Elephas maximus indicus: one gene and its partner. The protein of the gene in region 2 binds, or shares a complex with, the protein of the main gene of each other region. Links are inferred from orthologs where the notes say so. Each region holds a gene or a part of one and is shown on either strand. Other genes may lie near its edges.

Region 1 (16,211 bases), on a different chromosome or scaffold from region 2:
TATTTTGATTCCTGTTATTTCCTGTTTCTGCAGAGTTTTGAAATGTGAGTGTCGCGTAGGTCACTTCTTCAGACATTGTAGAAGAAAGCATTACTCTAAATTATGTAATTAATGTTTCAATATCCTCAGGCCTGGTATCAGGATGTTCTTTTCAAGGCTGGGAGCCTTTATATAGACATTGGACTGACCCGAGACACATCCCACTGCCCCCTGTAAGAACAGAATGACTATCAGTCTTACTGAAGAGAAAGTGAGAGAAGTCAAACATTCTTTTTAGAAATCAAAACATTGTAGATCTCAAACTGTCTGCTTATTCAGTACAGTTCCTTACTGTGGAGTAAAGAACTTATGCTACCCACAATAGCCAAAAGGTGGATGCAGTCTAAATGCCCATCAACAGACGAATGGATAAACAAAATGTGGTACATACATACAATGGAATACTACTCAGTCAGTAAAAGAAATGAAGTCTTGATACATGCTATAGTATAGATGGAACTTGAAGACATTATGGTGAGTGAAATAAGTCAATCCCCAAAGGACAAATATTATAGGACCTCACTTATATAAAAAGATAAGAAAAGGTAAATGTATAGAGATCAAAGTTTATTAGTGATTACCAGGGATGGGATGGAGGGGGAAAAGGGGGTTAACAGAGATGGAAAAATTACACTGAGTAAGGGTAAGTTTGCACAGCCAATTATTGTAATTGCTGTCAATAGTTGTATACCTGTACAAAGTCGAACTGGCAGAAGCTGTATGATAGATATATTGACAACGATGATTTAAAAAAAAAAAAAAAAAAAGAGTAGCTGCTGAGGCTGCTTATGTACAACCAAACACCTCATGGGATTTTGTTCCTTGGTTTGGAAGTTTAGGGTTGTGGTTTCATGGGACATCACAGTTAATTGGCTTAATAACATGTTTAGTGCTTTGGTTTCACCTTCTTGTTTGTTGTGTAGTGCCTGGGGTCTTAAAAGCTTGCAAGTGGTCATCAAAGGCACAGCAATTATTCTTTATTCTCCTGGAGCAACAGAGGAAGGAGAGTCAGGAATAGGAGGAGAAAATGGACCACGCGTGGGCTAATTGCCTCCATGAACAACTGCCCCTTTGCCATTAGACCAGAAGAACTGGATGGTGCCCACTAACATTACTGAACATTTTGATCAAAAATTCCGTAGAAGAATCTCAATCAGAGGCAGGAAAATGTAGTAAAGATTTCAAATTCTCATGGACTCCCGACTTCCTGGAGCCATGGCGGGTAGACGAACCCCTGAAACTATTGCCCTGTGATAATCTTTAAACCTTAAACAAAAAATATGCCCTGAAGTCTTCTTAAAGCCAAGTAATAGTTTAGTTTAACTGGTAAAAAGGTCTGCCCTGAGCATTATGCTCTTTTAAGAACTGTCTACATGGGATCAAATTGACAACAGCAACTCGAAAGATTAGATAGGAACTTTAGGGGGCAATAAGCTTAAGTTAACAGGGGAAGAAAAACTCAGAAAAGGGGGTGAGAATGTTGCACAATTTGAAGAATGTAATCAGTGTCACTATATCGCATGTGTAGAAACTGTTGAACTGGTATATGTTTTGGTGTGTATATTCTCAACAACAAAATAAATAAAATTATTAAAAAAAAAAAGAAAAGAAGAAGGTATGTTAGCAAAGGTGTGTTAGCAGGCAGAGCAGGCATAGTAGTTTCATAGAGAGCTCCCAAGATCCTCAAGGTAGAAGCTCTGAATGTTTCAGTAAAGGAACAAGTGTCTTCTTTACATGTGACAAAGGCCAGCTAATACTGGTTGGAGATATGGGATCTGATTTATACTCACCCACATCAGATATCAAGCAGAGACACGCATACTAAGGCTGGAGGAACTGTGTAGTTAAAGGCCATACACCCCTGACTGCTGTTGTAAGAAACCCAAAGTGTGTGTGTGTGTGTGAGAGAGAGAGGAAGAGAAAGAGAGAGAAAATGAGACAGAGAGAGGTATGGTGTTGGTAATGAGGCATGGAGAATAAATGGATAGCTATTAAAATTGTACATGAACAGGATTTCCCTTCTGGCATGGATAAGTTCCTACCAGAGTGATCAATCTGCAAATAACAACCAAATATTTAGGGCAAGATTTTTAAAATAACTACCTGAAGTTTCAAGAGAGTGAAAAATTTGGAAGGTTCTAGAGAGAATGAGACTGGCACATAGTGAAGTATTTTTTTAGTTTTGTTTTTGTTTATTTGGCTTTTAACCTGAGGACAACCCACAGCCACAGTGCCCTGCAGAGCAGCTGAATCTCCAGTGGAAAACATGCAGTCTTTCAGGCCTGAAAAGTCAGAAGATGGAGTTTGGGGCAACCACAGCCCCTGGAAAGTGAGTGGATGGCCATGGAAAGGAGGCAGTGAAAGAGAAGGAGTCCCAAATCCTATGTATAAATTCTCCCCAAATATCTGTCTTATCTTGAACCATGAGTACATGGAAACAGACTTCAAATAAAACCAAACTCACTGGCATGGAGTCGATTGTAACTCATAGTGACCCTATAGGACAGAGTAGAACTTCCCCATAGGGTTTATTAGGCTGTAAATCTTTACAGAAGCAGAATGCCTCATATTTCTCCCACGGAGCTGCTTGCAGGCTCAAACTCAGCAGCCTAGCGCTTTAACCTCTGTTCCACCGAGGCTCTTCAGACTGCAGGTAGCTCAGCTAAAACAGAAAGAATGGGACTGAGATTTAAGCTGCTTTCCAAGAGACGAAGTTTGAAGTTTGAGTCCAACCAAGTTAATGGCCTACTGCAACAAAAATAACAACATTCTTCAGAAGAATATAACAGAATTTAGTCTCCATGACATAACATGGAATGCAGGAGGAGTTAACATCATAGAACCTTTACGCATTAAAAGATAAACTGAATACATTAGGAACAACTTCATGCCAAAAAAAAAAAAAATAGCATAGATAAAATAGAAAAATTTATTGAATTATATACAACTTTCCAAAGTTAGCAGAAGTTGAAACAAAAAATCTGAGTAGCCCTATATGTATTCAAGAAATTTAATTTTGTTTTCAAATTCTCCCACAAGAAAACTCTAAGCCAAAATGACTTCAGTGATGAATTCTATCAAATGATTACACAAATCTCACCAATCTTACACAGACTCTTTAAGAAAACCCAGGAGCAGGAACGTATTGATATGAACATATCACTCGTAAACCTCATATCGTTTGATGAAGTTAGGGTAACCATAGTACAAAAAGCCTCACAGCCTTTGCAAGAAAACCAAAATAAAGGCCAATATCTCTCATGAATAGACACACAAAAATTCTTAGCAAAATATTAGTAAGTGAAGTCTAAGAATACATTAAAATGATAATAATGATGGAGTAGGGTTTATCCCAGGAAAGCAAGGTTTAACACTAAAAAAATTACTCAGAAAAAAGGAGAAATTCATATAATGATTTTATTACATGAAGAAAAAGTATTTGACAAAGTTCAACACCCATCTATGAGAAAATGTTCAACAAAGTAGGAATACCATGTAACTTTCCAAATCTGATAAAAGGCATCTATGGAAAATTTCTGATTGGTATTAACGTCAGTAGTGAAATGGTGAACATTTTTCCCCTAAAATCAGGAACAAAGAAAGGATGTTAAGTATGTTTATAAGAATTGTATCGGAGATCCTAACCAGTGCCATAAGGCAGTAAAAATAAAGAAAACAGAGACTGGAAACAAAGAAATAAACAATCTCTGGTTCCAGATGACATGCTTTTTTTTTTTTTTTTTCCATAGAAAAGCCAAAGGAATCTACAAAACAGCTCCAGAACTAATCAATAAAATTAAAAATATCACAAGATACAATCTTAATATACAAATATTTATTGTATTTTCTATAAACATTTTCTATACCTGCAGTAAATAACTAGAAATGAGGCATTTTTTAAAAATCATCTTATATAGCACAAAAAGCATAAAATACTTAGAAAAAATATAACAGAATATTTGCAAGATCACTACACTGAAAACTACAAAACACTGCTGAGAATGACTAAAGAGATCTTAAATAAATGAAGACATATACCGTGTTAATGAATTGGAAAAATGATACCATTAAAATAGTTTTCCTCGAATTTATCTGTACATTCAATTCAATTTCAATAAAAGTCCTAGAATTAAAAAGTAGATACATAGATTTTAAAATCAATATGGAAATGCAAAGGACCTTAAATATCCAAAACAACCATTTTTAAAAACAAGAAAATTGGAGCACTTATACAATCTGACTTCAAGAATTGCTATAAACCTGCAGTATTCAGGATAGTGGGATATCGGAATAAGAATTAACAAATAGATCAATGGGACAGAACAAGGCCCACAGATAAATCCCCTTATGTACATACACAAAAGGAGCCCTCATGGTACAAAGGTTAAGCGTTTGGCTGCTAACCAAAATGCTGCCAGTTCAAACCCACCAGGGGTTACACAGGAGAAAAGACCTGGCAATCTGCTCCCATAAAGATTACAGCCTAAGAAACTCTATGAGGCAATTCTACTCTGTCCCATCAGGTAACTGTGAGTTGGAATTAACGCTATGGCACACAACAACAATACGCCCATATTCATATGTTTGTCTTATTTTCAGCAAAGGTGCCAAAATAATCCAACAGAGAAAGGAAAGTATTTTCAACAAATAGTGTTGGAATAACTAGATATTCATATGGAACACTGGATATGAGGACCCTTCAGATTGTTTTGTACCCTGAAGCCTCTGTGAATCCCCTAATCTGATACCCCTCTCTAACCTCAAACTCGTAAATTGTACCTTCCAGATCATACAGGCAGTCTTCAGCAAACTTCACTATATTTATCTCAATCTTTTCACTCTAAACTCCTTTCATTTTCTTGCTCTAACTGAAGCCTTTTTTTTGTTCCCAAGTCTGAGGTTTAACTCATCTTGTTGCAATCATCTGCCAAATTCTGAAACATTCCTTCATCATTTTCAACTTATTAATGTCTCCTTGCTCGCCTCTACTCCTGTCATAATCACCGGTGATTTTAATATCTTTGTAGGTGAATTATAAAGTGGGTTATCTTATGGTATAATCTGATAAAATGAGCTAAAAAGATGTTGGAAGTTTTTAAGGGAAAAAGGTATAAAAGCAAAAGTGAGGAGTAAGCAGATGACCTAATTCATTGCCAGGCCCAGCAGTACAAGATGTGTGATGATGTGTGGACAAGAAAATATCTACTGCTTGAGAGAACTGCAGGTAAACTCAGGAATTAAAACAACATCAACAACAAAAACACCTCCCTTGTTCCTCACTGTCCCCCACCACACACACACTATCACCCCTTTTCTCTAATTTCTCCAATTCTCTTAACAGTAGAAGTGCTCAAAAAGCTGTCTATGCCTGCTGTGTTTCTTTCTGCTTTTCCTGAACCTCACTCTAGTCAAGCGTTTGCAATAACTGTATCTCCAAAAGGTATCGCTGGGTGGTGCAAACAGTTAACTTGCTTGGCTGCTCATTGAAAGGTTGAAGGTTGGAGTCCACTCAGAGCTACTTCAGAAGAAAATTCTGGTAATCTACTCCCCAAAATTCAGCCATTGAAAACCACAGTTCTGCTCTGACATACATGGGGCCACCGTGATCTGGACGAGCTCGTTGGCAACTGGTTTATTCCTACAAAATCACTCCCGTCAGAGCCACCATTTAGCCTCCACATTAGCAAATAAAATGGCTGTTTCTCAGACTTCAACTTACTTAACCTATAAGCAGCATTTGTTAATATCTTTCTTCTTTGGTGGCGTGGTGGTTAAGAGCTCCCAGCTCCTAACCAAAAGGTCAACAGTTCTAATCCACCAGCCATCCTTGGAAACCCTATGGGGCAGTTCTACTTTGTCCAGTAGGGTCACTATAAATTGGAATCGACTTGAAAGCAACAGGTTTGGTTATCTCCAAAATACTTTGGTCCTCAAGACAACATTCTTTCCTGGTTTTCCTTTTACTTCACTGCCCATTTTTCCAGGCTTGATAATTCTTCACTAGCTTTTCAACTTCTAAATGTTGGTGTGCCCCAGAGTTCAGTCCGCGACACTCTGTCTTCTGTTTACATTCGTCCTTGAATGAGCTTTTCTACATTCATGGCTTAAAGTAGCAGACATGCACTAACCTGTTAAAACTCATTGCTATCGAGTTGATTCCGACTCATAGTGACCTATAGGGCAGAGTAGAACTGCCCCATAGGATTTCCCAGGAGAGCCTGGTGGAGTTGAACTGCCAAACTTTTGGTTAGCAGCCATAGCTCTTAACTGCTACACCACACTAATAACTCTAAATTCATATTTGCACTCCAGGAACTGATCTTCAGGCCCATATATCTGACTACAGATGGGCATATTTACTTATATACGTTATAGGATTTTCAAACCTAACATACCCAGTAACAAACAGCCTTTTCCCAATGTGTCCCATCAAAGCTTTCTCATCTCAGTAAACGAAACTCCTTACTTGCTATTCCTCACCCAAAAACTTGGAAACATCTTGGCTTCTCTTCTTACTCTCACGTGAATAAATACATCAGAAAATCTTGTTCACTGTGGAAAATAAGGGAACACAGAAACACAGGTACTAAATATGGAAGTATTGCCAATTTAAGCCAAATTAAAGAAATGCTGAGTTTATACTACAGGAAGCTATAATCTCACTGTTTATCAATGATCATTCCATTCCCACAAGGTATGCCTGTTTCAGAGAACATTTAAAAAAAGTGGTGCAGATTGAATAGCACCCGGAGAATGGCCAGAATAGGAATTAATTCAAAATTATTTACAAAAAGGAAAAGGAGTAAATATTCAATCCAGAGGTATCAAGGATCCAAAGAAAACAACCAAAACCTACAAAAAAACCAAACCCACTGCCATCAAGTTGATTCTGACTCATAGTGACCCTATAGGGCAGAGTAGCACCGCCCCGCTGGACTTCCAAAGCTGTAAAACCTTACACATGCAGACAGCCACAAGAAGAAATTAAAATCAGAAAGAAAAAAAATGGCCACAAGGAGGAGCAAGAGGATAATTATGGGATGAAATTTATTTTAAAAATTATATTCACTCAATCTGGATACTAATAACATAAAATTAAAGTACTTATATGTGTGTATAAGACTGGCAAGGCAAAGGTGAACCAGTAATACTAATGCAGAGGGATGGATAATAGAATAGGATATCACTGATCATGCACCCAAGACTTTACCTTAAAGGAGGTGTACACTAAAAGATCTATAACAAGCTATCACCAGCTACAAAATGTTCACATCCCTTTTTTTCAATTGGAAGCCATTATTTTAACACCTGTAGTAGGTAGGAAGCATCAGTTTCTTGTCTCTTTTACACATCATTGTATATTGACCAGTGACATCCACAATGTTTTACATTCCAGTAATTTCCTTGCTTATTGCACTTATACCTTATCATTGTGATCCTAGTGACTTTTCATCCATTCTTCAGCATAAACATAGACAATGGAGTCGGACAATGCCTAAATTTGAAAGACATCATAATGTCATTGAAAGAACCTGAAACCTGGGTAAATTATACTGCTATTTACACAGAAACAAACAAACAAACAAACCCATTGCCTTCGAGTCAATTCCGAATCATAGCAACCCTAAAGGACAGAGTAGAATTTCCCCATAGGGTTTCCAAAGAGTGCCTCATGGATTTGAACTGCCAACCTTTTGGTAAGTAGCCATAGCTCTTAACCACTGTGCCACCAGGGTTTCTATTTACATAGAAAAGTACCCAAAATACCTTAAATGTCTCTTTCTACATGTATAAAATTAGCATGGTAATGCCCATTGTACATATATTCATTCATTCAACAAATACTTATTGGGTGGAAACGATCTGCCAATCTCCATTATAGAGGCGTGGAATACATTCTCGTGGGGATAAATGACAAAGATTTAAATATATAAAAAGACTCTATGTGGGTCAGATAGTGATAAGTGCTGTGGAAAAAAGTGAAGAAAGGAAGAGGGAAGGGAATGTGGGCTGGTATGTTTGAGTGTGAAGAAATTGTTCTAAATAGTCTAACGAAAATAGTGTGTTGTCTAATTTAAGACTCTGTGCACCAAGTGGATATGGACTATGATTTTCTCTATGAATATTCAACTCCAATTACAGTGTCTGATGCATACTGAACATTCATTAATTATTTGTTTAAAATAAAAGAGATGGTTTATATAAGAGTGACTTCTTAATCTCTAAACTGTTGAATGAATGAAGGTTTTTATTCCAAGTTCAGACTCATCAAAAATTTGGAATAAAGAACTTTTTTTCAGGTACAGTTCCCTGAACAAAAAAAAAAAAAGGAAAAAGGGCTGTGTGTGTTGGGGGGCGGGGGAGAAGACAAAATAACTACTTTCAACATAAGCTGAAATAATAATTTGAAAGCCTAATTAATAAAGGTAATATGTGGAATACACTATTATATTGTGAGGTAAAGGGAACTGGAAACCACCCAGTCCCCAAATAGTTCTTCATCCAGGCACCCTATACTTGAACTTGCGTGATTCTACTGAATTAAGATTCTTCCATTCCAAGAAATTCACTGCAAAGTAAAAATATTACTGAAGGGCTATACATCAATTTGAAGCCCTAGTGGTGCAATGGTTAAAAACTCAGGCTGCTAACCCAAAGGTCATTGTTTTGAACCTACCAGCCACTCCCTGGAAACCCTATGGGGCAGTCCTGCTCTGTCCTATAAAAATCACTATAAGTCAGTATCAACTCAATGGCAATGGGTTTGATTTTTTTGATAGTACAGCAAGTCATTAACTCCGGATAGTGTCATTTTATTTGTCTGTTTTCCTTCAATGCCTAAACCTAAGTCGTATAAAGCCAGCCCTATGTGGACTCCTAAATTTTTTGAAAATTTGATTTATTAGAGATACAAGAATTTGAATGAGTTCTAGGACATAATTATGAATAGTTCGTTCCAATACAAGACCATGGAATTTCTAATTTAGGCAGTATTTGATCAAATTATATTAGACATGTTCTTCTGCTGGTGTTTTATCCATGATTTTCCACAGAAGTCACTTCATTTAAACAATATGATTTAGGTTCTATGAGGGAAGCAAGGATGGTGAGACTTCATCTCAGGTACTTTGAATATGTTATCAGGAGGGAACAGTCAATGGGGAAAGAAATCATGCTTGGTAAAGTAGAAGGGCCTCAGAAAAGAAGACACTCTATGAGATGGACTGACATGGTGGCTACAACAATAAGTTCAAACATAGCAACGATAGTGAGAACGGTGCAGGACCTGACAGTGTTTAGTTCTGTTGTACATAGGGTCACTATGTGTCAGAACCGACTCAATGGCACCTAACAACAACAACAGGGTTAAGATGAAGTATGAACTTCAGAAAAATTTTTGGTTCTTTGAAAGGATACACATGCTGGAATATCTCTTTACTTTAAGCTGAAGATGAGGAAACAGGAAACAAATGCCATATCTACTCCTTTACCACAATTTATTATTTTTGCTTTTTATTTATTTATTTTATGTTCAATGTCCATGTATCTCTGAACAACTATGAAAGGGCTTCCTGGAAAAAGAATAAACAAAACATGTGTCCTAACTCATACGGCTCCACTCTCCCAGTTGAGGAGGATCACAGACTGACAGACTTTGGAATCTTAAGAGTGGACACTACATTTTGCCAAGTCACTGGACCCCTGAGCTCACTTGCAGTCCAAGTGAGGCCATGCAGGATGAAGATGGATACGTAGCCTTAAATATTAAAACTCGAAGATCAGCTTTCACCTCAGGTAAGAATGCCCAGAACCAAAAATCTGGAAATTAATTAGTAAAATAAGTCAACTCTGTTTTCCCTTTTTCTACTAGAGATAATACATACAGCTTTGTTTTTTGTTCTGTTTTGTTTTTCCTGAATGATGTTCTTTCTCTATAGCCCTTAGTAGTATTTACATAGACTCAGACTTATTTAGAAGAAAGACAACACAGGAGACATAATAATGAACTTGCATTAAGGCTCCTAGAGTTTAATGCTGGATGGTGCTGAAGTGAAGGATATGGGGTAACAGGGGAAGGAATGTTTGGAAACCACCATTTTCCAGGATCCTAGTAAGTGGGTATAATTCTTAAGTAGTTGCCTATTAAAGAATATTTATGGGGGGGAAGGGGAGTGTACACAAAACAAAACAAACAATAATGTCTTAACAGCTGGGTTATATTTTGGCTCAGAGAGGGGAAGTCCATTGGTGATGGGGATGGATGTGTGGTATGGGAGTGGGTTGTGCTTATTGTTGATGATCAACAAGGAACACAGGCAAGATCTTGGAAAATTCCAAGAGGCTGGGGCACAGGTGACACTGTCCCATAGCCATGCCCTATTACTGCTCCCTGACATATTTATTGTATGTCCACAGCTGACCCTGTGTCCTCTTTGTGGCGTGTGATGGCTTTTGTTCTTCTGATCTTGTGCACAGGGATGGTTGTTGGGCTGGTAGCTCTGAGAATTATGTGTAAGTATTGACTCACTGACAAGGGTTTGGTCTGAGGATGGCAATACCTAAGGGTTTTGGTATATCACACTAAGTTTCTTAATTGTCCTTCCATTTGTTACTACTCCAATCATACTATATATATAGTTGCCAAGATTTTCTCTGGCCTTTACCTCTTGATCAAAATCACTTTTTAAACTGTTTATCTATTAAAAATTTAAAAATTATTTTCAAGAATTTTAAACTAGCCTTTAAGATTCTCTTGAGTATGAATGCAAGTTATATTTTGAAATCTTTCTTTCATCATTGCATATCCTCAGATCCAGCCAAACCAGGGTCTTCTCAATTTCATAAATAAATTCTGTATCTACCTGCCTGAAATTTTGCCTATCCTATTCCCGCTTCTTAAAATACCTTCCTTCCTATTTTGTTTACAAATTTACTTACTTCCTCTAAGAGACAATTCATATCCCACCTAACTGATAAACATTGTTTTTTCTTCCTGTAAACCTAATAGCCCTACAATGTCACCTTTTACTTTAGGTAGTTTTTGATTGTTTGAATACTTGTTTTTTCTTTTTTTCATGAGATATTTAATAATCTTTCATTCACGATCGTTCATACACCTGAATCTCATAGTACTTTGGGCATAGCATGAAATCAGTATGTATTTTTTTCAGTGAATGAATATTCTGGTATGACATTAAGAGCAGAAAATAGCAGAGGTGTTCACTTCTGTTAACACTGTTTAGAAACCTGCATTTAATAAAATGTCAAAACAATTGCTTTAGGTGTGTATTTGTTCATGAGATTTTCTTATTTGTGACTGTTCTCCTTAAAGAGTTCACTCATTTTATTAGATAACTCTCAAGTGTCAGTTTTCTATATATATATTTTTAAAATATTCCCCTTTGCCCATATCCCTTTGTAGGTATCATTTACTTATGTGTACCTTGTAAACACTTCATAGCACGGCAATTCTATTAAAATGAAAGTTTATTGAAAAGCCTTTGCGTCACACTTAAGGTCCTGATTACAAATTGTTATTATCTAATTTTTACATTTAGCTGTCACACAGCAGAATCTCCTACAAGCTGAGAATGAAAACCTTTCAGGAACTCTGCAACAATTAGCAAAGCGCTTCTGCCAAGATTTAATAAAACAATCTGAACAAAAAGAAAATTTCAGTAAGTGTGGTTTGGTAACTCTTGATCTCCTCTAACACCAGAGTATTTTTTTGTGCTGGTATTTGTAGTGAATCTTGAGATCTGCGGGAAACACTGAATGTGGGGAAAATGTAAGCCTGATTTAGAATGAAATGGTTCCTATGCCTGATCTCTCCTTAAGGCCATAAGTGCAGCCCCTGTGACAAAAACTGGAGATACTATGGGGATAGTTGCTATGGATTCTTCAAGCACAACTTGACATGGGAAGAGAGTAAGCAGTACTGCTCTGGCGTGAATGCTACTCTTCCGAAGATTGCCAGCCAGAACATTCTGGTAAGGAGATTCTTAGGTCAAATGTTTTGGAGTTACGAGAAGAAACTCTCAAATGTAACATTTGGCTTTGTTTATATTTTTCTTACGTCTTTCAGTCTGTGCTAATCTAAAAACCTTATCAAGCTCAGTAAAAATGACAACATTTGAGAGTAGAAAGTGCTGATTTAGGGCTCAAGGGACTTTGAGGTCTTGTCTTATCTTTTCTGTAAGTAATTTAACCTCTCTCAATTTCCTTACCTCTATTTACTAACTTGGAACAGAATCCGAAAGTCCAAAAAAAAAAAAAAAAAAGCTTGGCAGTTCAAATCCACCAGCTACTCCTTGAAAACCCTATGGGGCAGTTCTACTCTGTCCTACAGGGTCACTATGAGTCAGAATCCACTCGATGGCAATGAATTTGGTTTTGGTTTATAGAGAGAGGTTAATTGATTTATGTACTAATTCAACAAATATATGTTAGAACTATTCCAGGAATTTGAAGCTTTGCAGTCACTAAAACAGACAAAAATTCCTAATCTCATGGAATTTATATTCTACAGACAATAAACAAAACAAATAGATATAGTATAGTGTTGTTTTTGTGTGCCATCGAGTCTATTTCCACTCATAGCGACCCTATGGGACAGAGTAGAACTGCCCCATAAGTTTTCCAGGCTGTAAATCTTTACAGAAGATTTACAAAGACTGCCACATCTTTTTCCCTAAAATAAGCTAGTGCATTGTAACAGCCCACCTTCCAGTTAGCAGCAGAATACTTAACAACTGCACCATGAGGGCTCCATTCATAAAGTATAGTACACACACACACCTGATGGTGATAATTGCTAAGAAGAAAAAATAGATGAATGTTATTTATAATCCATTTGAGAAAAATACCATGTAATTCTCTTTTAACCCATCAACTAAAACAAATTATAACTTCTACATGAAAGATTTTATAGACAATCTAAGCAAAAAATAAATTCAGATAAAGCTTACTTCTGGGGCATTAAAGTCTTAACAACGATGATTTCCTTTTCTATAGTCGTTTACCAGTTGCCATCAAGTCAGTTCTAACTCCTGGAAACTCCGTGTCTATCAGATAGAACTGTGATCCACAGGGTTTTCTATGGTTTTTTTTTTCTTTTTTAATTGCCAGATCTTTTTTCGAGGTGCCTCTAGGTGGACTCCAACCTCAAACCCAGCACATCAACCATTTGCACCACCCAAGGACTACAGTCATTTACTGTTTACTCCATTTCAGGGTCATAGTTGGTATTCTCTTTGATACTCTAATCTTCAGTTGATGGAAGATATAATCATATAAACACAGAAGAAGATTAGAATATTAGATATTTTGTATATAATTTTTCTTATGCCCTATAAATATAAAGGGTTTTTTTGTTTGTTTATTTGTTTTTTAATTCTAAAACAAGCCAATTTGGTACAATTTTAAGTCTCGAATATAAGGAGCCCTGGTGGTGCATGCATTAATATTAATATAAACATATAATCCAACATTTCTTTTTGTCAAGGGTCTTATCATGAAACTTTGTCTTTAGGTCATCACCAAGAGCTTTGGAGGCATTCTGACCTTTATGTTTATTTGTGTTTACAACAGGAGTATATCAAAGCCAGGACTGGTTTGATACGTTGGGTAGGATTGTCTCGCCAGAACTCTAATGGAGTCTGGATGTGGGAAGATGGCTCAGTTGGCTCAGTTTTCTCCAAAAATATGTAAGTCACTGAACATTCAGAGTTCAAGGCACTGCTAGCAATTTTTGTTTCTGAGATTCCCTTCCCTCTTGAGTGCAAGTTACTTATAATTTGAGAGGAGCTCTATATCTTACTATGGGTTACATAAACAGCAGCTGAGTCACACATGCCCTACTCCAACAAAAAAACACTGGTAATAAAATAACTCAACCTTCCCCATGCTCTTATTCTTCTCTTTATCTAAACCACAATTCACATGTATTCTTCATACTTTTTTTCCCATCCATTTTTGCCCTCAACTTTACCTTTGAAGCATTTTATGTTTTCATTTTTCCTTTCTATAATTGTCTTCACATATTTTTAAAACAAAATTATTATCCTCATTATCTTATGGCTGAAAATTTTTGCCTTGGAGGTCCCTTTAACTTTTCAGTGTCATCTGCCTACTTTCCCAACCTAGGCATCTCCAAGAATCAGTCATATTTTAGTTCACAAGGAAATTCTAATGTTCATGTAAAAAGGCTCCATTCTGCTAGAGGCAATCCAGCCAAAAGGGCCAATTGCATTAGGAGTTACCTAATATGCCTTTTCTTTATGCTGTAGTGGCACAGTGGTTAAGAGCTCAGCTGCTAACCAAAAGGTCAGCGGTTCGAATCCACGAGCCACTCCTTGGAAACCCTACAGAACAGTTCTACTCTGTCCTGTAGGGTTGATGTGAGTCTGAATCAACTCTTGGGCAATTATTTTTTAATATGGCTTTTCAGTCCTACCACCGTCTATTCAACCTATATATGAAAGCTGCAAAGTCTCTCTAATCCAAATATAAACTACATTCAAAATCTATAACGTGAGAACAACTTAAGTTATTAACTATTCACCAAATAGTTATTATTTACTGTAGGGTCAGAACATTAAGATCACAAGCAAGCCTCTTTCTAAGTCTTGGGCTTTATCTCTTAACACTTATTAACTCTTTCACAATATTCTAGACAAACTGGCCTTCCTTCTATTTATCGACAAATCAGTCTTGCTTAGTTGTCTTAGGGCTTTTGTACTTGCTGTTCCCTCTACCTAGAATGCTCTGCTTCCAGAACTCCGTAACTGGCTCCCTTTGTCACTCAAGCCTCTGTTTAAATAATATTTCCTCAGTGAGAGTAATTCTAATCTCTCAAACTAAATTAGCCTCCCTGGTATCTACTCCAATCAAGGTCTATCATATCATACTCTTGTTTCTTCACCAATTTTACCAGTTCTCTGATGTTATTTTATCTGTTTATTTGTTGGCTTCTTAGCAATATCCTCCTACTATAACATAACCTCCCCAAGAAAAAAAACCTTTCTTTGTTTACCACCATATCCTCAGCACATACACAACTTTAGCACATAGGAAGGGTTCCATAGGTATTGTCAAATAGATTAGTACATATATATTCCTTGGCGTTTCATCATAAGGAATCTAGTAAGAGATACCAAAAAACCAAACCTGTTGCTGTTGAGTTGATTCCGACTCATAGCGACCCTACAGGACAGAGTAGAACTGCCCCATAGAGTTTCCAAGGAACACCTGGTGGATTTGAACTGCCAACCTTTTGGTTAGTAGACGTAGCTCTTACCCACTATGCTACTAGGGTTTCCCTAACAAGGAATACAGACAGATTAATAGCCAATTATAATATAATGTGTTGTCTTTTATCTACTACCCTATAACAAATTTTCAGTTCAAAAATATTTAATCAACTCATTTTTCCTTGAGTTCATTCCTATCTTGTGCAGCTGTTTGCCTTGCCAGGCCCTCCCATCTTATCTACACCCTACTTGTCTCCTCTTACCTAAGTCCTACTCTTGCTTCAAGACAGAACTCAAGCCTCATCTTCTAGATAAAGCCTTTACTCACCTTTTCAGACCCACATCCATCTCTTCCTCTGGACTCCTATTGAGCCTAGTGTTCACTTACTATTTAAATTTATTGTATATTAAATTGGTATTGAAATTTTCAATTGCTATGAGTCAGAATCGACTCAATGGCTGTGGGTTTTTTTTTTTTTTTTTTGGTGTATACCTTCCACTCCCAAGCATATTGGAAGTTTCTCAGTTGCATGGATCTTGGTTTATACTCCCCCCTACTCATTGGTTCCACTTTCTGCCACAAAATTCTGCACACAGGGTTTGATTGTTGATTATTTATTTAGCTTTCAAGTAAACTCATTCTACCTTTTCCATTTATAGGCCTGAACTTCCAGGAGATGGAAGAGAAAACATGAATTGTGCTTATTTTCATAACGGGAAAATCCACCCTTCCTTCTGTAAGAACAAACATTATCTAATATGTGAGCGGAAAGCTGGGATGGCAAAGGTGGACAAACTACTTTAATGAGAGAGATGAACAGGGTATCACAGACAAATGATTGATTATACAATAAAAAGCCTTGATGAAAGAATCACAAGCCATAAAATTTCTTATTTCTCCCTCTCTTCAGCATGGAGCCA
Region 2 (16,080 bases):
GACAATCCAATTATAAAATGGGCAAAGGATATGAACAGGCACTTCAAAGAAGACATTCAGTAAGCTAACAAACACATGAAGAAATGCTTGCTATCCACAGCAATTACAGAAATTTAAACCAAAACTACAATGAGATACCACCTCATCCCAACATTACTGGCACTAATCAAAAAAAAACACACTGCTGGTAGAGATGTAAAATGATACAACCACTATAGAAAACAGTATGGTACTTCTTCAAAAACCTAGAAATAAAATCCCACTCTTAGGTATATACCCTAAAGATATAAGAGCCGAGACATATGCATACCCATGTTCATTTCAGCATTATTCTCAATAGCAAAATGATGGAAACAACCTAAGTGTCTGTCTTAGGCATCTAGTGCTGCTATAAGAGAAACCCCACAAGTGGATGGCTTCATCAAAGAGAAACTTATTTTCTCACAGTTTAGTAGGCTTGAAGTTCAAATTCAGGGTATCAGCTCCAGGGGAAGGCTTTCTCTGTCAGCTCTGCAGGAAGGTCCTTGTCATCAATCTTCCCCTGGACTAGGAGCTTCTCAGGCTCAGGGACCCCAAGAACAAAGGACACACACTCTGCTCCCTGTGCTGCTTTCTTGGTGGTATGAAGTCCCTCCTCTCTGCTTCTCTTTCCTTTTATTTCTTGTAATATAAAAGATGGTGCAGGCCACACTCCGGGGAAACTCCCTTTACCTTGGATCAGGAATGTGACCTTAGTAAAGGTGTTACAATCCCAGCCTAATCTCTTTAACGCAAAATCACAATCACAAAATGGAGGACAACCACCCAATACTGGGAATCATGGCCTAACCAAGTTGACACATATTTTGGGGGAACAAAATTCAATGCATGACGGTGTCCGTCAACAGATGAATGGATTAACAAATGCTGGTAAATACACACAATGGAATACTATGCAACAATAAAGAATAATGATGAATTTGTGAAACATCTCACAACATGGATGTATTTGGAGGGCATTATGCTGAATAAAATAATTCAATCACAAAAGAAAAAATATTGTATGAGACCCGTATTATAAAGTAACAACAAAAAGGTTTACACACAGAAAAAACAAACAAAAAAAAACATTCTTTGATGGTTACCAGGGGTGGGAGGGAGAGAGAGGGAAAATTACCAAATAGATAGAGGACACAAGTTAATATTGGTGAAGGGAAAGGCAGAACACAACATGGGAGAAGTCAGCACAACATGACCAAGGCAAGAGAGGACGCTGAGAGAGATGCAAGAATAAAGGGCAACTACCGAAACTACTATCTGTAGCATAGACAATCCTGCAACAGTAGTATTAACAAAGGAGAATTTACGAATGGATACATAGGTAGATAGATATGCCAAGAGGTGTGGGAGGGTATAAGGGAGCACATCCACCAGCAGATTCAGGTTTGGTGGTGGGTATTTCTACATACATGACTGTAGGTGCTCCTCATATGTTAATACAGACAACAGAGCACACAAGGGATACAGTCAGGGAAAATGCTTAGACATGACCAAACACCTCTCGGGATGAAGTTACTAGGCTCGAAGTCAAAGGACCATACACTCAGGGGACATCTATGTAGGCTTTGCAATAGCTCAGGCGTTTTTTCCGAGTCCCCTCTGAGTGGACTCAAACATCTAACTTTTGGTTAGCAGCCAAGCACATTAACTCTTTGCACCACCCAGTGACTCCGTTATTATATAGTTACTGTTAATAACACCACCATTAATGATCCAGTTCCCTTAGCTTTACAGATTCAGAAATTTAATCTTACTGTGGGTTGATCCAGTTCAGATGAAAATAACATTAGTCAAACTCACAAAAGGGCAGAATACCACACAGTTTAATTAGAATGAGAAATCAGTTTTCCAGTTTTTTAATACACACACTGGCTATCCAAATCATGAATTCTCAGTAGCAAAATATGAGATGCTGTTCAGTACACAGAACAAAAGCCAAGGATGAGGCTGTTTGATGGAATACATTTTCAGACCGATAGAGCTGGGACTCCTGATTCAGACCCGCCTTTGCTGAGATCAGAACACCCACGGCCATCAGACAGAACACCTTCCATGCCAGCTTTAAGCAGAGACAATGTTTGCCTTGCTCCCCATTGCCCCCCACTGCCTGACTCACAGCAGCTGATAAATATTTGTACAATAAATGAATTTCTTGGGCAAGTTTAACATCAACAGATTCTTGTTCCTTTGCTGTCCCTTTTTATATTCTAGGCAAACCGCCTCTTCTCCTTCGGGCAGGATGTTATTCATTGAACCACAGCTTTTCTTACATCAAACCAAACCCCAGTTGCTGCGAAGTCTATTCTGACTCATGGGGATTCCAGGTGTTACAACACAGAGCTGCTCCGTAGGTTTTCTTGGCTGTCATCTTTTTTGGAAGCAGATCACCAGGCCTTTATTCTGTGGAACCACTGGGTGGGTTCAAACCCCCAACCTTTAGGTTAATAGCCGATCATAAAGTGCTTACTCTACCCAGAGACCTCTTTCTTACATTAGTTGCATTTTTTTTTCCTCAATGGAGTCATCTTGACAAATTTTGGGAAATACCCTCTTCTTATCAGTAGTACATTTACAAATCTTCTAAACAAGCCCTCTCCTGCTCCTTCCTATGGTCTGTGTAACTGGCATTCCCCTCTTTTTTTTCTTCCAATTGCTACTGAGTTGGTTCCAACTCATGGCAAGCCCATGTGTATCAGAAAAGAAATAGTTCCACAGGGTTCCCAGTGGCTGATTTTTTGAAAGTAGATGGCCAGGCTTTTCTTTCGATGTGTCTGGGTAGACCACCAGCCTTTGGGCTAGAGCCAAGTGCTTAACCAGTTGCACGACTCAGGGACTCCTGCCATTCTCCTACATACTACATATATGACAATTATTGCCCATGTGTGATGTCCTCTCTCTGCGGCCCTGGAACCGTTTGCTGCTCTGCCCCTCTGACCAAGGTTCAAGAGTACCTCTTCCTGCCAGAAAGGCGATCATCCTTTAGGTAGTTTCGCTGCATTAAATTCAATGTTGTAATAACTTATCCATATTCAGCTCCCCAAGCAACTATATGAATGAGCTGGCCACGTTTGTAGGCTTCCTCCTGGACTTCGCTTGATCCAAGGACAAGCCCATCTCCTCTTAACAGTTGTCAAAGGCACTCAGCCAGCCGAGAAGGAGAAACAGCCCATCCATCCGTCCCTTTCTGTTGAAGGGTAAAGGAATGCTGAGCAGACTGGCTGGTGAGCACTGAGGCTGGACACATGCAAAGGAAACAGTCACCTGGTTTTCCTGTCTTGGGTGAACTTGGCAGAATCCTAGTTGTTCCCTAACCTGGCTCCATCTCCTATTGTTGTGAACCGCCCTTGAGTCGGGCCCCCTACTCACAGCGACCCCATGCACAACACAACAGAACAAAACGTCTGCCTGCTCCTGCACCATCCCCATGATCAGTTGCAGACTGGACCACTGTGATCCTAAGGTTTCCAATGGTTGATTTTGAGAAGTAGATTGCCAGGGCTTTCTTCCTAGTCCATCTTAGTCTGGAAGCTCTACTGAAACCTGTTCAGCGTCATAGCAACACACAGGCCCTCGCTGCAGGGAAGCCCCCACTTACAGAGAGGTGGTGGCTATGCATGAGGTGCGTTGGCCAGGAGGAATCGAACCTAGGCCTCCCACATGAAAGGCGAGAATTCTACCATTGAACCACCACTGCCCTCGCTCCATGTCCTAACAGTTGGATAAATTATCTAACCATTTGCCTTTCCCAGCAAATTTTAGGAAATCAGTAGGGAAAGGCTTCAAAATTCCAATCAAACCCAAACCAAACCCACTGCCATCGAGTCGATTCCAACTCACAGCAACCCAACAGAACAGAGTACAACTACCCCATGATGTTTCCAAGGCTGTGATCCTTACAGAAGCAGACCGCCTTATTTTTCTCCCAGGGAGCAGCTGGTGGGTTCATACCACCAACCTTCTGCTTAACCATGGGGCCACCAGGGTACCTTAACTCCAATCAAGAGGAGCATTATCTCCTGCCCACCCCTCTGGGAATCCTAAAACAAATCTCAGTTAACTATTCACTTGTCTTTATAAGTACACAAACCACCCTCATGCCTCAAGCATTTCATTCTCCTTGAACAAAATGCTCACGCTGGTATTTCCTGGACAGGTTTCAGTGGCGACAGGGAAGGCATGGCTTCCTTAAAGAATCTTGCAGGATCTTATTCAGACGTATCATGTGAGTTTCTCAAGGGTCGTTCTGGGTATCGAGTCTTCTCTCCCTCCTTGTCCTCCCCCATAATACTTCCAACAAGTTGTAACCTGACATGCCTGTTCTTTGGGCCAGAAATATGACAACTATTCAGATAAGCCAGTGGAATTTAAAGTGCAGGTTCACGGCTTTGGCGCTTTATAACATTAGGCGTGCCTGCCTCTAAAGTGTACAGAGAAATAAACCCTGCAGCTAGTAACATACCAAGCACTCAGGAGATAGTTAATAACAATTTGTGGGATGAAGTAATGAATTCCATTTTAACGTAGGGGGATATTTTTACCCGTAAAGGATTATGGTATTTAATGTAATTTTTATACCTTTAAAAAATGTTTTTATAAGTTAAAAATTTTTTTGTTTTCATGTGTAAGGAGCTTAAAGTGAGGTTAACTTTTAATTTCAAGTTCAACCTTTGGTTTTCTTTAAGACAGCGTAACGGAGTGAAAAGAGCTTGGTGTTTGGAGGCAGACCCATTTCTGATTCCCAGTTCTGGCATAGTTTGAAGATAACGTATAATTTACGGGACTTGCAATGAGTAAATGAGGTGGCCTGTGACATTCCTGCACGTGGTGGGAGACGGGAATGGGAGGGGCGGGGTGGCCTTCCTACCAGGCCAGACCATCTGTTGTCATGCAAAGGTTTGGGGTCTTCTAATTCCCTGGTAAAGAGTCACTCGGAGTCCCTGGGTGGTGCAAACGGTTGATGCGCTCAGCTGCTAATCAAAAAGTTGAAGGTTCAAGTCCACCCGGCGTTCCCTTGGAAGAAAGGCCTGGTGATCTACTTTGAAAAATCAGCCCTTGAAAACTCTGTGGAGCACACCTCCACTCTGACACAAGGGGTCATCATGAATCGGAATCGCTGAGATGCCGTTCACTTCAGAGGCCAGAAAAAATGAGAAGAGGCCGTATCCCTCAGGTTCAACCCACTTGGCCACATCTACACTTAGCCTTCTCATATTTGGATACTTGTTTTTTTTAATGTGCTTTTCTGTATTATAGGGGCTCTGGTGCACAGTGGTCAAGTGTCTGGCTGCTAACCAAAAGGTCGGCAGTTCGAATCCACAGGCCGCTCCTTGGAAACCCTATGGGGCAGTTCTACTCTGTCCTATAGGGTTGCTATGAGTCCAAATCGACTTGACAGCAACGAGTTCTATATTATATGATAATTTGGATCTCATTTACCAGTGTAACAGCTAGGTCTCCCTCACGAAGCCTCTAACAGACCTGTTCTTTTTTAAAGGCTTGCTCCACGGCTAAGTGTAACCGAAACTCTCACCAGCTCATGATGATCTCCAAAAAAAGAAAAAAAAAAACAGAAAACCCAACCCATTGCCACCAATTCCAACTCACTGAGACCCTATAGGACAGAGCAGAACTGCCTCTTGTGGTTTCCAAGGCTATAATCTTTTTGGGAGCCAAGTGCCACATCTTTCTCCTGTGCAGCAGCTAGTGGGTTCGATCAAACCTCCAACCTTTCGGTTAGGAGCCGAGCACACAACCACTACGCCACCAGATCTCAGGGACTCCGAAATTGGCAAATATTCCCGGGAAATCACAGGGAAATTTGTGTGCTGCATGATTAATCTCGGGTGGCTGGGTTCCGGAAAAGCACATGTGTGTTTGCAACAAGCAGCAGCTTGCAGAATCTCACAAAACAAACTGTTTCATGGAGAGGCCCTGAGGTCGGGGTTTTGGACTGAAGTTCAGAGAGTGGGGCTTGGCAATGGCAGAAAATGCCAGATGAGCGGACAACGGATCTCCTTTGAGTACACTAATATTCAAAGAGACGGCACCCTGAACAAGATGATAAAATGGAGCCAGAGTCTAACACAGCATAAGAGAAGCCCAGTAGGGTGCAGGATCATATGAGAAGGATAATAAAATTCATCACAATAATTACCCCCAGCCCAGGTCCCCAACAAGCACCAACAATAGCTCAGCTCAATGAAGTTATTCATCCATATTCAAGTCGCCTTGCTCATTATCTGCAGACAAAAACCCCGCTGGGGCCTCACTCCTTCCAGGCTCCCGGCAGCCCTCCCCACAGTCAGCAGACCTTCTTTCTTCAGCAACCCCGTTTCTAGAACCAAACGCAGCTGTTTTTGCAGACAAGACTTAACACCGCCTTTTAGGAGTACCTTGGACATTCAGGAACGGCTTTAATTACAACTAACCCTTCCCTGGGAGAGAAGCGAGGGTGATGCTCAGCTGCTGTCCTTAGTGGACCTGGGATGGGGCTCCGTTTGGGGGGCCTCCCACACCTCTCACTGGTGAGCACAAAATGGTGTCATCTGCACATTGTCTCACCAAAAAGGAAATGCAGTTGATATACACAACTGTATATATTCCAGAGGAAACAAGAGTTCCAAAGATAGGACTGCAGGAATAGCCCACGGGCCATAAAGAGAGTCCATTCTTCCCCACGCTGTCTAGCACAGAGTAGGCAACCTGTATAATTTCTGTAAGGTGGGATATTTTTGTCTCTGCATGGAATTATAGAAACCTAGGTTAGGTCTGCCCCCTCCATCAAACTCTTCCCTCCAGGAAGGATCCTTCTGAGTCTAGGTCTAGCTCACTCTTCAATTTGCACAATGAAGGTGTTTAACTTTTCAGAGCCCAGCTCACCACCCTCCAACTCCAAGCATCACTAGTGGGCTAACCATGCCTTCAACCTACTTAGTGAACCCCTACTACGTGCCAGACACCATTTTGACCCTAGGGATCAAGACTAGATGGAGCTGTGTCCTCAGGAGCTTCTACTCTACCTGGCAAACCAATAAAAATAAAAACCAAGGTAAAAATAAAATATTGACCACTGATCATGGATATCACCAGCAGGCTGGGCACAAAGAGGAAAGGGAGGTGAAGGAGATGTAAGAGGAAGAGGAGGAAATGGGAAAGGGAAGAGGAAAGAGGCTGGTGATGGGGCAGGTAGCATCCCTCCTCATCAAAATCTTAAACATTTAAAGTTATTTAAAGAAATCACGACATTAATTCAGTTATTGACATCGGCCAGACTCAATATGTGGCCCCAAACGAATTTAAACCTCAGGTTTCACAATCCTTCACTCGTTCAGGCTACTCAGTCAGGAAACACTTTGGCTCTTTCTGTCCCCTCCACACAGCTATCCTCATTAGCTGAGGCCTCTTCCAGTACCTGCCCAGCGATGGGCAGCATGGAGTGTGTCTGCATGCTGGCCCACAGGGTGTTAAGACCTGGCAGCCGAAAAAGAGGAAAAGCAGGAAGAATCCTCCTCCCTTCTCACCCCGCCCCGCCACCTCAGGTCCCTCTGGACTCCCGGTGCCAAATTTCCTTGGCCGCGGTAACCCTCCAGTACACAGCCCTGCGGGAATGCCCGGTCTCCCCTGCCACGGAGAACGGCTTGCTCCTGTTATCTCCAACCCAAACTGGCATTGTGAGCTGAGCAGGGGGTGGCAGGAGGTCAGCTGAACCAGAGCGAGGCCCCTCTGCCCCCACCTTACGCCCGTGGCTTGGGGGCCCGCTCATCTGCTTCTTTGAGGCTCTGCACCAGCTTCGCACATACACCCGCAGCTCCTTCCGCTCTCCTGGGCAACCTCACAAACCAGGCAAAGCCTTCCAGCGAGTCTCAGATCATTCCCACCAGCAATGGAAGGTATCACTCGTGTTGGCTCTTACCTCCTTCTGCCAGGACCCAGAGTGACGCGCTTCCCAAGATGAGGAGCAGAACCGGCACCTTCAACATGCTTTTAGTTGGCTGATTCTCTTTGGGGCCGAGAAGCTAGTGTTTGTGCTGCGCAAAGATAAAAAGCTGGTGGCCCCAAGCCCTCGCCTGAAGGACCAGGAGAGCGGGATAGGAATGCGGGGAGCAAAAGGCCCAGAGCAGGAGTCCCCAAGCTTCCTCCACTGCAACTAACGGAGGAGCCCGCCTTAAGGAGAGCAAACTTTGCAGTTCAGAACTTTCCGAGCGGAGTCAGCATTTATCTCTCCGAACGAGGGCGGGGAGCGGGTCCAGTAAGGTGGTCCCAGACCGAGGCGCACTAGGACCGCCCCCCGGCTCTGCTTGGCCGCCGCTAACTCGATGATCTCAGACCAGGTTTAAAGTTACAGGCCGGCAGCTGCGGGGGCTACCAGGACGCGTGCGAAGCCCGAACCCTCCCCAAATTGGCTTTTATTTTGACCAACAGCGGGAGGCAAGGGGAGCGCCTAGGTGGGGCGGGGGAGTGCTATGAGCGGTTCTTTCTGACTCTATTTGTTGTTGCATTTTTTAAGAGTAAGGCATCAAGCTGTGTTTTTCTTGCTATGTGCTGAAGCGAGAAGTCAACGGTTCCTTGTGTGGCCAGTCATTTTAGATCCCGGCATGGGATGGTTCCTGTAAATATTGAATTTGATGACTAAAGAAAACCAAGGCAGGCGTTCTCATCTGGGTGGGCCAGAGGCGGCTCGGGCTGCTAAATTGCCCCCTTGTCCCGGGCGCCCGGAGCGGACAGGCGCTGGTGGGGAACTGTGCGCACGCACTTGGTGGCTTGGGCCGTTTTGAAAAACACTGAGCAGGGACCCGCCTCTCCTGGCCCTGGATGCCGAGTTTGGCAGATGCAGTGCCACACGGGAGGTGCAGCGTCTGAGGAGGCACAGCCGCAGCCGGAGACGTCAAACGGGACCCACCTGGGCACCAAGCCTGCTTGTCCACTTCTCGCTCGGGCTCCTCCTCCTCAAGTCTGGAGTTTGGCCACATAATCTCTACTTTGCTTCTTTAAACAATCTTGTCATGAGCTCAGGTATGAGATGTTAGGAACAGGAAGAGAGCATATATATATACATATATATATAAGAGTTCGGAAGGCAATAAAGTAAATATATAAGTAATATATATGCATTTACTGAATATAAAAGTATAGGAGGTCTGGTGTCGCAGTGGCTAAAGCGCTGGACTGCAAACCCAAAGATAGGCGGTTGGAACCCACCAGGTGCTTGTGGGAGTAAGATGTGGCCTCGGCTTCCTTTAAGATTTACAGCCTGGGGAATCCTAAGAGGCAATTCTACTCAGACCTATAGGGTCGATCTGAGTCTGAAACGACCAACAGCAGTGGGTTTCGGGTACAAATAATATAAATACATATTTATTTATACAGTAAAACCTGCGAAAGCTGGAACTTGGGTAAGGCAGAAACCTGTCAGAGAAGGAAAAAAATATTTTCCACTAATAGTGACAGAAAAGTGGTAAGACTGTCAAAGGTGGAAAACGTTCGAGACCCGGAAAAACAAGGCAGTCCTGGGGAGTCCCAGCTCTTACAGTCTCACCATATATTTATTTACTGTATTTTGCCTGGTGGCATAGTGGTTAAGTGCTACAGCTGCTAACCAAAGGGTCAGCAGTTTCAATCCGCCAGGCGCTCCTTGGAAACTCTATGGGGCAGTTCTACTCTGTCCTATAGGGTTGCTATGAGTCGGAATCCACTCGAGGGTGCTGGGCTTGGTTTTTTTTTTTTTTTTTTTTTGGTTTGATATATGCATATACGTAAATGTGTTTCCTTCTGAACTGTTTAAATTTTTTAAAAAATAATTTTTTTTAAAGAGTTACTGGGGACGTGGTGTGCGCTCCCAAATGTCGTAAATTCCATTCAACACTCCATAAAAAAAAAATGGTTGTTTTCAGATCCTTATCCTAGATCTGGTTTCCCAATTAACTTCATTAGGAGAATCACATGGGATGGTTGTTAAAAATCTCAGATTCTTGGGCTCTACCCCAAACTTATTGAATCAGATCCTTTGGAAACTAGCATTTTCAACTAGTCCCCCAGGAGAATTTGTCCAGGGGATTTCTGGTAAACTTTGCCCTCTGGCAGGGCTTCTCAAACTTCAGCAGGCAGGTGAATCACCTGGGGGTTAGTTAAAATGCAAGGCTGGGGTGGGGCTGAGATTCTGCATTTGTAAAGCTCTCCCAGGTGAGGGAGGCCGCTGTTGACCACCCCCAGGCTACAAAATAAAAGCCTGGAGTGAAGGGCAGAGGGAAAGTCACCCCAACCCCCTTCCCTCCAGAGCCACGGGGTTGGAAACAAAGAGAAAACTAGGGCTAGAAAAAGAGAACCTTTCCTGAACTGACTCCCCGATTTTACTAGTACGTTTCCTAAAAAAACCCCAGTGCTGTCGAGTCTATTCTGACTCGTAGTGACTCTATGGGACGAGAGTAGAACTGCCCCAAAGAGCTTCCAAGGAGCACCTGGAGGATTCAAACTGCTGACCCTTTGGTTAGCAGCGAGAGCACTTAACCACTACTCCACCAGGGTTTCCAGTACATTTATTATTACTGTATTATTCCAATATCAATCATGTTTGTGACAGGCTGGTAAATGTATTGTCTGTAGAGCCTGCTAGCTGGACAAGAGCTGCAAATCCCACCTCACTCACTCCAGTGTCACAAACACTCACCCCAGTATAGCTTTGCAAAAGCAAAACTACCTTCCCTTGGAAATTGGAGACACAAGATTAAAAAAAAAAACTGGAGCTTAAATGAAAGTTGTTAGTTGCCATTGAGTTGACTCCAGTTCATGACGACCTAATGTATAACAGAAGAAAATGTTGCCTGGGCCTGCGCGTCTTCATGATCCTTGGTATGTTTGAGCCCATTGTTGAGGCTATTGTTGTCAATCCATCTCCTTGAAGGTTTCCCTAATTTACTTTGGGCCTCTACCACTAAAGTCCCTGCCCAGCACAAATGGATAAGTGCCCGACTACTAGCTGAAAGGTTGGTAGTTCAAACCCACCCAGAGGCGCCTCGGAAGACAGGCCTGGTGATCTGCTTCTGAAAGGTTAAAACCAAAGGGGGAAAAAAAAACGTTGCCGTTGAGTCAGTTCCAACTCATAGTGACCCTGTAGGACACAGAACTGCCCTACAGGATTTCTAAGGCTGTAAGTCTTCACAGAAGCAGACTACCACATCTTTCTCCTGTGGAGTGGCTGGTGGGTTCGAACCACCAGCGTTTTGGTTAGTGGCCAAGCACATAACTTTGAAAACTCTATGGAGCAGTTCTACTCTGCACACATGGGGGACGCCATGAGTCTGAATTGACTGGAGGTCAGCTAACGAAGACTTTATCACGTGGGGGAGGATCGGTCAATCGCAGTTAACTTAGCAGGATGATTGGGGCTAGGTTATTATTCAAAGAGACGGTCCCCAGAGAGCCCTGGTGGCACAGCGGTTAAAGCGCTTGGCTGCTAACCAAAAGATCCTCAGGAGAAAGATGTGATAGTCTGCTTCCATTAAGATTACAGCCTTGGAAGCCCTCTGAGGCCGTTCTACTCTGTCCCATAGGTAGCTATGAGTCAATCAACTGTGCGGCAGTGGGTTTGGTTTTTGTCCTTTTTTTTTGTTGTTTTGGTGCCCAGAGGGAAAGGCCTAGTTTCTAGAAGGGCATCATCACCTGACCTTCTTGTAGGGGACAAAAGGGACAGGTAATGTTGCTGTGTGCCATTAAGTCAATTACGACTCACAGTAACCCAATAGGACAGAGTAGAACTGCCATATTGGAGCCCTGGCGGTGTCGTGGTTAAGAGCTCAGCTGCTAACCAAAAAGCTGGCAGTTCAAATCTACCAGCCACTCCTTAGAAACCCTATGAGGCAGTTCTACCCTGTCCTGTACGGCTGCTATGAGTCGGAACTGACTCAACAGCACCTAATAGCAACACAGGGTTTCCTAGGTTGCGATCTTTACAGAGCAGATGGCTGGTGGGTTCAAACCGCTGACCTTTCAGTCAAGCTCTTAACCATGGCACCACTAGGGCTTCTCACTGGTGGGACTCACTAGGGAGAGTTATTGGCCCTGTGAGGGGGAACCCAGGGACCAGATGCGAAGGGTGGAAGCAATGGGGGGCAGGGTGGGATGAGGGAGAATGCTGGGCGTCTGGGTGAGAAGTTTGAGCCAGGGTGCACCTGAGTGTCTCAGGTTTGGGCTAAAGCAGCTGCTGGGAAGCACTGGGGCTTAGACACCTGAGAAGGAGCCCACCTGAGAGGAGTAACGAAACAAGCGCCAGAAGTTTCCTTCCATGCTCGTGAAACAGCTGGTGCTCCTAAAGTGGCGACTGAGAATCATGTCAGACACAGGAACAAGGACAGCCATGTTCAGACCTTTGCTGTGGCCAGGATGTGCACTATCTCATTTAATCTTCAATACACCCCTGGGTTTTAGGGACATGGATAACATCCATTTTGCACAAAACAAAGCAGGCTTAGAGCAGCAGCTTCCTCAGGGTGTGTTGGAATCGCCTGGAGGGTTGGCTAAACCACAGCTCGATAGGCCCCGCACCCCGCCCCCAAAAAAACCAAACCCATTGCAGTTGAGTCAATTCCACCTCATAGTGACCTTAAAGGACAGAGTAGAACTGCCGCATAGGGCTTCCAAGGAGCACCTAGTGGATTCGAACTCCCAACCTTTAGGTTAGCAGCCGTATCTCTTAACCACTAGGGCTTCCAGGCCTCACCCCAGAGTTTCTCATTCATTAGGATGGGGTGGAGGCCTGAGGATCTACATTACTACCAGGTTCCCAGGTGATGCTGATGCTGCTGGGGCCACACTTTGAGAACCATTGGCTTAGAGTCTGTGCAAATTGTCCAGGATGATACAGCTTAAGAGTGGTGGCATCACGCGTCCCTCTGTTGTGGAGCAGGACTTGAGCCTAGGGTCAGATTAAACAGTAAACATGGTAAACATTGGCTTGCATTGAGCAAGGTACCCACGGGCTTAATTGTGTTTACTTGCTAATCTGCAGTGAGCCATTTCACATGGGTTTCACCACATCTTTGACACAGAGAGAGACAGGTGAGATTGTTTACTGCAGGTTGGTGGGAAGGCACAACTGGGCCGGTGCTTACCTTGCTTATTGTGTAATCTGGCCCTGCTTGAGCCTGTTAATGGTGCTGGTACTTCTTAAGAATTTGGAAGGAGAGATCTATAAGTTACTTCTAGGAAACAAACCAAATTGAACCAGCTGCCAAGGGGTCAATTCCAACTTAAAGTCCCTATAGGACTGAGTAGAACTGCCCCATAGGGTTTTAAGGCTGTAAATCTTTATAGAAGCAGACTGCCATGTCTTTCATCCTAGGAGTGGCTGGTGGGTTTGAACCGAGACCTTTCGGTTAGCAGTGGAGTGCTTAACCACTGAGCCACCAGGGCTCCTCCTATAGAAAGCAGGAGACCACATAAAGGGAAGGGGAGCAGGGTGCAGAAAGAGAAGGAGCCGAGCAAAGACCAGAAGAATCCAGGGCATCCACCGTGAGAGCCTCCACTCGGGGACTCTCCATCCAGAGGGCTGAAGATGGAATGGTCTGAAACATTGCAATATGGTTGTGAGGATGGCGCAGGACTGGGCAGTGTTTCCTTCTGCTGTACGTGGGGTTTCTATGAGATACCTCTGGCTCCATCTCTGATCTCAAGGGCATCCTTGTGACCTAGGAGAAAATCATACATTGGGGCACAAGCTGGGCCCAAAATGTGTTTGGCAGGAATGTGATGGGGGCCATGGGTGGGAGGTGGCACTGGACCTGAAGGAACCCCCAGCAGCTTGGTTTGCTGGAAAGAACCAGTATTTGAAGTTAACATCCAGCTCCATGGGTAGCCTCAGGCAACAAGAATCTCAGTATCGGCTTCTTTGAAATTGGGGTGAAAAAAAAAATAAATGGGGGTATTATTCCTCCCTTGGGGAGTCTCTGAGTAGTACAAATGGTTAAAGTCCTTGGCTGCTAATCTAAAGGTTGGAAATTCAAGTCCACCCAGAGGCGACTCAGCTATGGCTGCTAACCAAAAGTCAGTAGTTCGAATCCACCAGGTGCCCCTTGAAAACCCTAAGGAACAGCTCTACTCTGTCCTATAGGGTCACTATGAGTCAGAATCAACTCTATGGCAATGGGTTTTTATCTACTTCCCAAAAATCAGCCACGGAAAACCCTATGGAATGCCAGGTCTCCTCTGACACACTCCTTACCTTGGGACTTACTGCTGCCAGCCCACTCTGGATCCCTGTCCCACAACCTGAGCCCAAGTCTTCCTCTGTGAAACCAAACTACCACTCCCTCCCCCCAGTTCCACCCAGGAACTAGGGTTCTCTCCTGTGACCCCAATCTGGAGGCTGCCTCCTGCCACCTGCTGTAGTGTGTACTGGGAGCTGGCTTGGATTTCTGATGGTGACCCCCCCAGGCTACCCCACCCCACACAGGAGTGCTTTAGTGAACAACCAGCCCCTCCTGCTCTGAGTTAAACGATCTCACTCATTATTCTAGTGGGCTGCACACAGGTTTGCTCATGTACCCCCAAAATGAGCTTTGAAAAACTAGGAACCAATTATTTTTCATCATACAGTTAAACAAGTATATTTTGAAGGTAGAATATATTAAACACTTGGCTGAAAGAAATACGATGAAGATTGACTGTAACTGGAAAAAAAATTTCATTATTTGATTTGATAAAACTTACTAAATAAGGGCACTATGTAAACAATTATATAAAATTTTGGTCTGTGCATTTTATCCATCCACCTTAACAAATCCTTTTTTTTAAATAATTTTTATTGTGCTTTAAGTGATTTTTTTTAAGTGAAAGTTTACAAATCAAGTCAGTCTCTCACACAAAAACTTATATACACCTTGCTACATACTTTGAATTACTCTCCCCCTAATAAGACAGCCCACTCTCTCCTTCCACTCTTTTCGTGCCCATTTCGCCAGCTTCTAACCCCCTCAACCCTCTCATCTCTCCTCCAGGCAGGAGATACCAACATAGTCTCAAGTGTCCACCTGATCCAAGAAGCTCACTGCTCACCAGCGTCCCTCTCCAACCCATTGTCCAGTCCAATCCATGTCTGAAGAGTTGGCTTCGGCAGTGGTTCCTGTCCTGAGCCAACAGAAGGTCTGGGGGCCGTGACCACTGGGGTCCTTCTAGTCTCAGTCAGACCATTAAGTCTGGTCTTTTCATGAGAATTTGGAGTCTGCATCCCACTGCTATCCTGCTCCCTCAGGAATTCTCTGTTGTATTCCCTCTCAGGGGAGTCATTGGTTGTAGCTGGGCACCATCTAGTTCTTCTGGACTCGGGATGATGTAGTCTCTGGTTCATGTGGCCCTTTCTGTCTCTTGGGCTCGTAATTACCTTGTGTCCTTGGTGTTCTTCATTCTCCTTTGATCCAGGTAGGTTGAGACCAATTGATGCATCTTAGATGGCTGCTTGCTAGCGTTTAAGACCCCAGATGCCACTCTTTGCAGAATGTTTTCTTAATAAATTTTCTCATGCCAATTGACTTAGATATCTCCTGAAACCATGGTCCCCAAACCCCTGGAAACTTCTTTGCTTTTGGATTACTCCTGTTTCTGCTGACCTCCCCTGTATTGTGTATTGTCTTTCCATTAACCTAAAGTAGTTCTTATCTACTATCTAATTAGTTAATACCCCTCTCCTACCTTCCCTCCTTCCTCCCTCTCGTAACCACAAAAGAATGTGTTCTTCTCAGTTTAAACTATTTCTCAAGTTCTTATAATAGTGGTCTTATACAATATTTGTCCTTTTGCAACTAATTTCACTCAGCATAATGCCTTCCAGGTTCCTCCATGTTATGAAATGTTTCACAGATTCCTCACTGTTCTTTATCGATGTGTAGTATTCCATTGTGTGAATATACCATAATTTATTTATCCATTCATCCACTGGTGGACATCTTAGTTGCTTCCAGCTTTTTGCTATTGTAAACAAAAAAAAAAAATTGTAAACAGTGCTGCAATAAACATGGGTGTGCATATATCTGTTCGCGTAAAGGTTCTTATTTC

The links.
Region 1: the proteins of PDPN (region 2) and CLEC1B are in contact, whole or in part, in a crystal structure (PDB 3WSR), measured with the Homo sapiens proteins. The link is inferred for Elephas maximus indicus from reciprocal best matches to the Homo sapiens genes PDPN and CLEC1B. Residues at the interface, in NP_006465.4 of Homo sapiens: Ala46, Glu47, Asp48, Asp49, Val50; in NP_001380271.1 of Homo sapiens: Arg107, Phe116, Arg118, Arg152, Thr153, His154, Leu155, Arg157.

The regions. Positions count from the first base shown.
Region 1 is NC_064822.1:67,297,908-67,314,118, forward strand, and holds the start of CLEC1B (C-type lectin domain family 1 member B), read left to right. Parts: upstream 1-9,664; 5' UTR 9,665-9,770; coding exon 9,771-9,834; intron 9,835-9,861; exon of another isoform or gene 9,862-10,150; intron 10,151-10,455; coding exon 10,456-10,551; intron 10,552-11,597; coding exon 11,598-11,717; intron 11,718-11,877; coding exon 11,878-12,029; intron 12,030-13,629; coding exon 13,630-13,745; intron 13,746-15,950; coding exon 15,951-16,027; coding exon of another isoform or gene 16,028-16,095; exon of another isoform or gene 16,096-16,211. Other genes in the region: CLEC12B (C-type lectin domain family 12 member B), read right to left, coding at 1-76. UniProt on the Homo sapiens protein: C-type lectin-like receptor that functions as a platelet receptor for the lymphatic endothelial marker, PDPN.
Region 2 is NC_064821.1:52,779,483-52,795,562, reverse strand, and holds the start of PDPN (podoplanin), read right to left. Parts: upstream 8,242-16,080; 5' UTR 8,019-8,241; coding exon 7,952-8,018; intron 1-7,951. UniProt on the Homo sapiens protein: Mediates effects on cell migration and adhesion through its different partners.